Linked DNA regions of Nothobranchius furzeri. The protein of the gene in region 1 binds, or shares a complex with, the protein of each later gene. Links are inferred from orthologs where the notes say so. Each region holds a gene or a part of one and is shown in the gene's direction. Other genes may lie near its edges. The genes, in order: dpm1 and dpm3.

Region 1 (4,622 bases):
TTTGCCTTATTGTGTAAAACATCACAAACACAGTCAGTTGTTTTAGCCTTAAATTCACAGATGATCTTCAGCTGACAAAGAAAGAATCTACTTTTTGGTGTTTTGGGGCTTTTTCTGATGCCAGGTTTTGGTTTATGAGCTTGAAAGTCATTTTTCTCCTTTTTACCTGAACAGTATGGAAGAGGAAAAAAAGAGGGAGCGAGAATTACGACTTATTTCTCATAACGGACTTTTCTAAGAGTTCTGACAATTAAGTGACGTTTAATTTGACCAATCATTAATCAAAAATTAAATAAAGATGTTTGATTTAAATAGTTTAAAAGATGTAAGTCAAACCAAGTGACTTTCATCTCACAATTATGTCTTTTTATTAATCAAATTCAGATTTTAGAGAAAAAAGTCAGAATGCTAAGACTTTTTTTCTTTTCAGTGACTCTAATCCTCTCCCATATGGAGAGTCTTGAGTTCTAGTATTGGTAAATGTTTTCATGCATGCACGCACGCGTGTGTGTACTGTTCTTATCCAGAAGATCCACATTATGGCCACCAGCCCTGGAGAAAACAAGCAGGCAGCAGTGACACCATGAGACACTGGTGGTCCTTTAGAGCAGAACTAAACAGAGATTACATCTGCAAAAGTGACCACTGGAGACCTTCATCATCTTGAACTAACCCTTGGATGATGCCGAAACTTTACCTTAAAAACTGTTCAACCATAAGGGGAATCTTGGTTTGTGTACTTTTTGTTTTAAAACTCCAAAGACAGGATTTTAAGTCCAGAAATGTTTTTGTATTAAGTACAGCTTTTGGTATTGATCAAAACAAAAATGCTGTTCCCAGAGGGATCAGTAAAGTACCTTATTGTTTAACAATCTAGCACTGAAATCGTGTATGTATACTTTGTTATGTTTATGCACTGTATTAAGGAAAAAGTCAAGCCTTTTGTGTCTTTTATGAATTTTATTTGCATTTTAACCTAAACTGCCTCAAAGATAAAGAATAAGTGTATTCCATGGTGTAAAATGTTCTTTTTATTCCATGGTATAAATGATACTGTGAGAATTTTGTTTTGTATAGTTTATATTTATTATTTGGCATATCCATTTTATTGTTATATACTATCTACTATGTATTCCAAGTAGTTATTTCTGTTTACAATTTTGTGGTTTCTTGGTGTTGGCATATGTGTTGAGAGTAAAAATGTCACGTTATCTCCAATGTTTTTGTGTATTTTTAAATAAAATGTTTATGAATTCGTTGTGTGTTAGTCTTTTGGAACATCACTATATTTATTGTGTTGTTTACATTTTTCTGTGTATTTCTTATGGTTTATTTATTTATTTAAAGACGTTTTCAAGGTAAGTGACCGCGCTGAAAACTGTTGTCGGAACCATGATGGAGGAATTGGTTTCTAGGTGTGTTTATTTTGGAAAGTACAACAGGAAGTTCAAATAAGCCAAGGCGATGTTCAAGACTAATTTCAGCGTAAACGTTCGCATTTTATGACAAACGTAATCCCGAAGAATACTGTCCTTCCACATACCCAGAAAGTGTTCAAGTACATGAGTGAAAAACACTTTTTCATTGATCTATAATAATTTATTTGTACAGCCCAAGTATTCCTCTGGTTAACTAGTTACTTGATTTAGACATTATTAAAATATATATATTATATAAATATTGAAATGTAGTATTACCACTGAGCCAAGTACAGTTGCTTACTTTTTGCAAAACTAGAATGACAATGTAAGTTGTGTGTGTGTGGGTGGTGGTGGTGGTGGGGGGGTCTTCCGACAGGACGAAATTCAAACTGACCTTTATTTTGAAATACGACAACAGGAAATTGTACAGCACTTCTTTTAACTTCTCAACTAGCTTATAGTATTTTGAGCTTTCGCGTCTGCTATGGCTAGTCGAAAATCTTCGCAACCAAAGCGAGAGAGCCGGGACAAATACTCTGTATTATTACCCACGTACAACGAAAGAGAAAACCTGCCTCTGATAGTGTGGCTTTTGTTGAAATATTTCGGAGAAGGGTGAGTTTTTTTAAGCGTGCAAAGATGCGTGGCTAATGATAACTCTTGTTAGCGTCTGCTAGCGATGAGTTGTCACTTGTGTCATCGACGCTGATTTGGTAGTAGAGACACATTAAATCTGGATTATACTGTTAATTTAGTAGTTGCCTTCTAAGACGCATTTTAAATTTTGTTCTGAGTTTTTATTCGTTTTATAATGCTGCAGAAACCGACGATTTCCAGTATTTTTTCTTTCATTATAAATGTAGGTGAAAACTAAGACCTGGATTTACTTATCCTGAAATAAATATAAAGAATAATTGTACACACACACACACACACATATATATATATATATATATATATATATATATATATATATATATATATATATATATACATGCATGCATGCATGTATATATATATGCATATATGCATATATATATATATATGTATATGTATGTGTATATATATTACATATATATGTATGTGTATATATATGTATATGTGTGTGTAACAGTTAATTGCGTCTTTAAAAGGTAACTTGAACGGATTCATCTCTTGTGATTACATTCCTAAAACGTTTGTGAAATAATATTTAATGTTTTTAATAAATGAATTAATAAATTGATAAATGAAAAATAATTTTTGTCATTTTAAGTGAAATAGTTTTTTATATGTCTAAAGATTGATTTACAGTAATCTCTGTCGGCATGATAGTAATGCTTATTTCTCACAGTGGATATGACTATGAGATTATTATCATTGATGACGGAAGCCCAGATGGGACACTGGAGGTTGCAGAGCAGTTGCAGAAAATTTACGGAAAGGACAAAATAGTAAGTTAAGACTGATCTCTCAGCATGAACAAGATAAATTCACATTAAAGTTGCACCACATATACTGTGTAAAATAATTAAAAAGTAATTTGTTTGTTTTTTTTATCACAAAACTTTACAGTGATAATCAACAGTCATTAATTGTTAAATCCTTCTAATTTTTCAGGTTCTGCGACCAAGGGAGAAAAAATTAGGCCTTGGTAAGTTGGTAAAATTATTGCATTTCCTTTATAAACATTACCAGTGGATGTAATCATCCCTTCATGTTTTAAAGGCACAGCCTACATCCATGGCATGAAGCATGCCACTGGGAACTTCATCATCATCATGGATGCAGATCTTTCCCATCACGTGAGTCGATGCACGAGTGTATTTGATGTATAAAATATCTTAGAAACAAGACATCTTTTGAGTATCTTGTCTGGAAAAACACAAATGGCTAGTAAAGTCCAATTGAGTATTTATTTATTTATTTATTTTGTTGCACTGCTGTGTATTTTATTCGTCTTTATTTTATTTCAGCCCAAGTTTATTCCTGAATTTATTGAGTAAGTATAATTGTTTTTTATGTTATGAGTTGGTGCGTTTATAAAGACTCGCAACATTTCTGATTATCAGGGTAACTTTCATCCATGTGTGACGAGTCGGATTATTCTAGCATGTTTTAGGTAAAGTATCGTATTTCATTCACAGAAAGCAGAAGGAAGGTGGTTATGACCTTGTGTCTGGTACTCGCTATCAGGGCAATGGAGGTGTCTACGGCTGGGACCTGCGCAGGAAACTCATCAGGTAACGGCCAGTGAGCAGAACTTGGTCACCAGTGTCCGCTCTCCTACGCTCGATGAAAACGAGATTTGTTTTTCTCTCCTGTGTCTTAGTCGAGGTGCTAACTTTTTGACTCAGGTTTTGTTGAGACCCGGCGCTTCGGACCTCACGGGCAGCTTCAGGTAACTGATGCAAGAGGTTTGAATCGTCATTGACTAGAAAACTGAACCGTTTCCTCACTTTTGTGCTTTTTTCCCTACGCTTTTGGAAGGTTATACAAGAAAAATGTGCTGGAGAGTCTGGTGGAGCGGTGTGTGTCTAAAGGTTACGTGTTCCAGATGGAGATGATCGTCCGAGCCAGACAGCTCAACTACACAATTGGAGAGGTGTTGACCTACCACGCTGTTGGGTTCTTTGAATATTTGTACTTTGTATGAGTTCTTCTCAACGTTTCCGCTGAAATTAAACTAAGGTTTATTTTCTCCTCGTCGTTCGCAGGTTCCTATTTCCTTTGTGGATCGGGTTTATGGAGAGTCAAAACTGGGAGGGAATGAGATCGTGTCATTTGTGAGAGGACTGCTCACACTCTTCGCCACGACGTGATCAGCGATGTTCAGAGCTTCTGGGAGCTTTTTTTTTTCCTCGTTCCACAAGTTTGTCTTTAAAACAGAAGTTTCACCAAATTAAAAACAAGAGAGAGACGTTCACCACTTTCTGTAATCATACGGTGACAGGACAACACAGGAGAAGGAAGGTGTTAGCAGTTAAAACTGTGGAAGATGTTCTTTTCTGTAGTTTTCAGAATGCTGAAGAAATGGTGATTCCCAAGTCTTGTCAATCCCATCGCAGAATGTTTCTGGAATTCTTTATTATTACAGTTTGCAAATGCATAAAAATAAACACGTTTTAATTGTAGACTCTTGTTTGTTTATTTTTAATTGATCCAATGGAAATTGTATGCGAATTTAAATGAACTCTTGACTTAAGAAACAGAAACCTGAGA
Region 2 (3,124 bases), on another chromosome or scaffold:
CATTCTCATGAATGCTCCTTAAAAAGTCATTGTTGAGTTCTGTTTAAGGAGCTTTCGCAGACTGGTTTCCACTGTCTCCAACAGAAGAAACACACTCTACCCCCACTGGCAGCCGTGCAGATTGTCATTCACACTATTAACACTAATGCTGACAAACATAAACACCACCATCCTAAGAATAACTCCCATTTTCCCTCAGAAGAATGATGTTTATTCCTGAGTGGCTACTTAGCGTGCCCCTTTCACCAGCTTGGTCAGTGTTGTTTACATCTCCTCCTGCTCCTGATTCCACCCTGGAGAAATCTGTGCCCTCTGCACCTGGTCAGTTCACCGCCGTAAATGAAAAGGCATGTGATGTAGAACTAACACAGAGACTGAGATCAAAGATCAAAGAGCCCCCCGTTTGTGCCTAAATTAAACTGTTTTTCAATTCCTCTCTTTGGAAAATACATAAATAGCTTTTAGCGATTGCTAATGGTATCTGATTTTGAAAATGGCTTTCCTAAATCATGAAAGGGATACTGAAAAAGCGTCAGAGGTCTAATATGTGTTAAAAGCTTGTCTGGGAAAGCTCATTAAAGACTCAGTCCAATTACAAACAGTGCTCTTTCTCACAGCTGACTGAATACTGGTCTTAATTCATCACGCTAGTGAAAACTGCACACAGCAGCAAGATCAATAGGGAAGTTTAAATAATTATCAGTCTGGCTGCTGTCATATCACTCCTCTCTGGGGGTCATTAGCTAGTCAAAGAGAGTTTATTTATGTGTTCATCATAAACTGAGTAACTGAATAAATAAGTGCAATTAACATAAATCACTTAATTTCTATGGTGCAACTGAAAGTCGTTTAAAGCTACCATACAGAAACATGAAAAGCTGTATTTTCTAATCAAATTAATGAAGCAGGGAATGTGTGGGGCCTACATTAATCTTGAGAAGAAGTTATAACACTGTCAGGTCCATCTAGCTCAATCCATTATCCATCTGTAGTCCCTTTAACTGCAAAAACAAATATGGAACGAAACCATGTATAACACTTTTAAAATAGTTTCATAAAATGCAAATTCTAATTTTGCAAATGTGAAAGAGTTCAATTATCTTATTTTAATTGAAAAATAAAAAATAATTTGTGTCTTTTGAAAGTTCAAAAATAAAAACAAGATCATTTATATACATTTAGGGAAAATAACACTGTTTAATAAAACGATTAATATAAATAAATGCATTGGAAATTAATGATTAGGCTAAATAAAATGAACAAGTGAATAAAAGATTTTCTTTAAAACTTATAAAAAATTGCTTATTTTATTTTTAGGTTATACAATAAATATAATTCAAAGTTTGTTTGAGTCAAATAAATCGGCTTTTAGCATCTTTTGAGTTGCTTTAACATTTCACTAGTCCTGCTACTACGTTTCCCACAAGGCATCGCGGACTGCAACGTCATTAATCTGCGCAGTGCTGAGGTGGTGTTTGAAAGAAGGTAAACATTCATGTTTATTTGGTCTTTAACGTGATTTAAATAGATGCTTTATATACTACCCTTTTATTTAGTTGCGTTCGCGTCTTTTCAACGAGTGTTTGGTTTATTTTCGTTTCTTGTCGTTTGTTTATTTCTGCGTATTTTAGCTCGATAAGCTAACAGGTTGCTAACACAGTTTTATCTCTCAGGTCGTTTCATAGAGCTTCCGTCATGACGAAACTGATGCAGTGGTTGCTCGGGGCGTCTCTGCTGGGGACAGTTTGGGCTTTGGTTACGTTTGACCTGTTGGAGCTGAGCCTCCCGCGGGTGTACCGGGAGATCGCCTGGCCGATGCCTCTCTACCTGCTGGTGACGTTCGGCTGCTACTCCCTGGCCACGGTGGGATTCCGGGTGGCCACCTTCAACGACTGCGACGAGGCAGCTCGAGAGCTCCAGGAGCAGATCACGGAAGCTAAAGAAGACCTCAGAAAAAAGGGCTTGAAGTTGTAGGACACAAAGACTCAACCCTGTAGAGACCGAGTAGTGAGGACATGTGTTTCACAGCTGGATGGATGAAACTGAACCATCTTCACTAAAATGTGGATAAGAAACTGTGTCACTTATGTTGACGCATCATTTCCAGTTTAATCCTGACAAATCTAATCCAGAGGCTCTTTGGGATTTCCCACGTGCTTTGAGTCAAGCTGATATGTGTTTGCATCGTGTGCATCTGGAGATGTAATGCCCGTACCTGCAGATGGATCCAGATTTAATCTGTAAAGACGTTTACATTCCTTTGTTCAATGCCTTTGAGGTGTTTCAGAAAAATTAATTAAATGGGAATTTATTTTCTAAATGGATTCCTGTTCTTGAGGTTCAGGTATGTCTGTGAAGCACCTTTGTGGCTTTACAAAGGGTTTCCTCTTCAAACGGGTCAGAACAAAGCCCTTTTGGGCTTGGCATTCTGCTTAACCTGTTGGGAGAAGACGGGCCTCTTTTTATCCAATTGTAAGTTTATGACACAAACTATGCATCATGTAATATTTCTCCAAATGCATTTGATTCTAAAAAATCAAATCTGCGTATGTAACTCTGAAGTAATCGATGTTGGCAGTTATATTTCTTTTACGAGCTGTAAAAGGCTGCCTTTGCGTATTTTTCACCAAGTCCCTGCTGTGTGTAAACAAAGCATAGCTTCACCAAAGGCATCATTACGGGGCATCAAACGATCTCATAACTTCTGAACAAATGCAAAAAGAGTTGGCAACTCTGCCTGTTAGGCTGCAGCTCCATCTTGCCTCGCAATGTCCCCCACCCCCACCCCACACACACCCACCCACTGAATCTGTGCAAGCTGTTGCTTGAGCAGACAGGATGAAACACAACTTACTTGAAAATCTTCTAATTTGGCAATTACACCAACAGCAGATCTGTTCCCACTTGCAGCCACATAAAGTTTTTAGTAAACTCTCAGTGTTTCTTTGATTCTCCACTAAAAAAAAACTGATTTGCTCTTTTCTGCAGAAGTATTTGTCCCAGGCTGAACAAAAGTGTAAATATTTTTGGACATTCGTTTTTAATCCCTTATATTGGAAGCGTACAATGCATTAGCTCCCTCCCAGTCTAGTATTTTTAAATAGCAGGTTTAAGTTGATGTAAT

Evidence for each region.
Region 2: dpm1 (region 1) and dpm3 share a complex: the UniProt entries of both Homo sapiens proteins name them as parts of the dolichol-phosphate mannose (DPM) synthase complex. The link is inferred for Nothobranchius furzeri from reciprocal best matches to the Homo sapiens genes DPM1 and DPM3.

What each region holds. Positions count from the first base shown.
Region 1 is NC_091755.1:48,132,529-48,137,150, reverse strand, and holds dpm1 (dolichol-phosphate mannosyltransferase subunit 1), read left to right. Parts: upstream 1-1,787; 5' UTR 1,788-1,905; coding exon 1,906-2,036; intron 2,037-2,754; coding exon 2,755-2,854; intron 2,855-3,020; coding exon 3,021-3,054; intron 3,055-3,128; coding exon 3,129-3,205; intron 3,206-3,376; coding exon 3,377-3,402; intron 3,403-3,547; coding exon 3,548-3,643; intron 3,644-3,732; coding exon 3,733-3,801; intron 3,802-3,890; coding exon 3,891-4,005; intron 4,006-4,117; coding exon 4,118-4,222; 3' UTR 4,223-4,534; downstream 4,535-4,622. UniProt on the Homo sapiens protein: Transfers mannose from GDP-mannose to dolichol monophosphate to form dolichol phosphate mannose (Dol-P-Man) which is the mannosyl donor in pathways leading to N-glycosylation, glycosyl phosphatidylinositol membrane anchoring, and O-mannosylation of proteins; catalytic subunit of the dolichol-phosphate mannose (DPM) synthase complex.
Region 2 is NC_091759.1:5,963,412-5,966,535, reverse strand, and holds dpm3 (dolichol-phosphate mannosyltransferase subunit 3), read left to right. Parts: upstream 1-1,427; 5' UTR 1,428-1,485; intron 1,486-1,673; 5' UTR 1,674-1,695; coding exon 1,696-1,974; 3' UTR 1,975-2,320; downstream 2,321-3,124. UniProt on the Homo sapiens protein: Stabilizer subunit of the dolichol-phosphate mannose (DPM) synthase complex; tethers catalytic subunit DPM1 to the endoplasmic reticulum.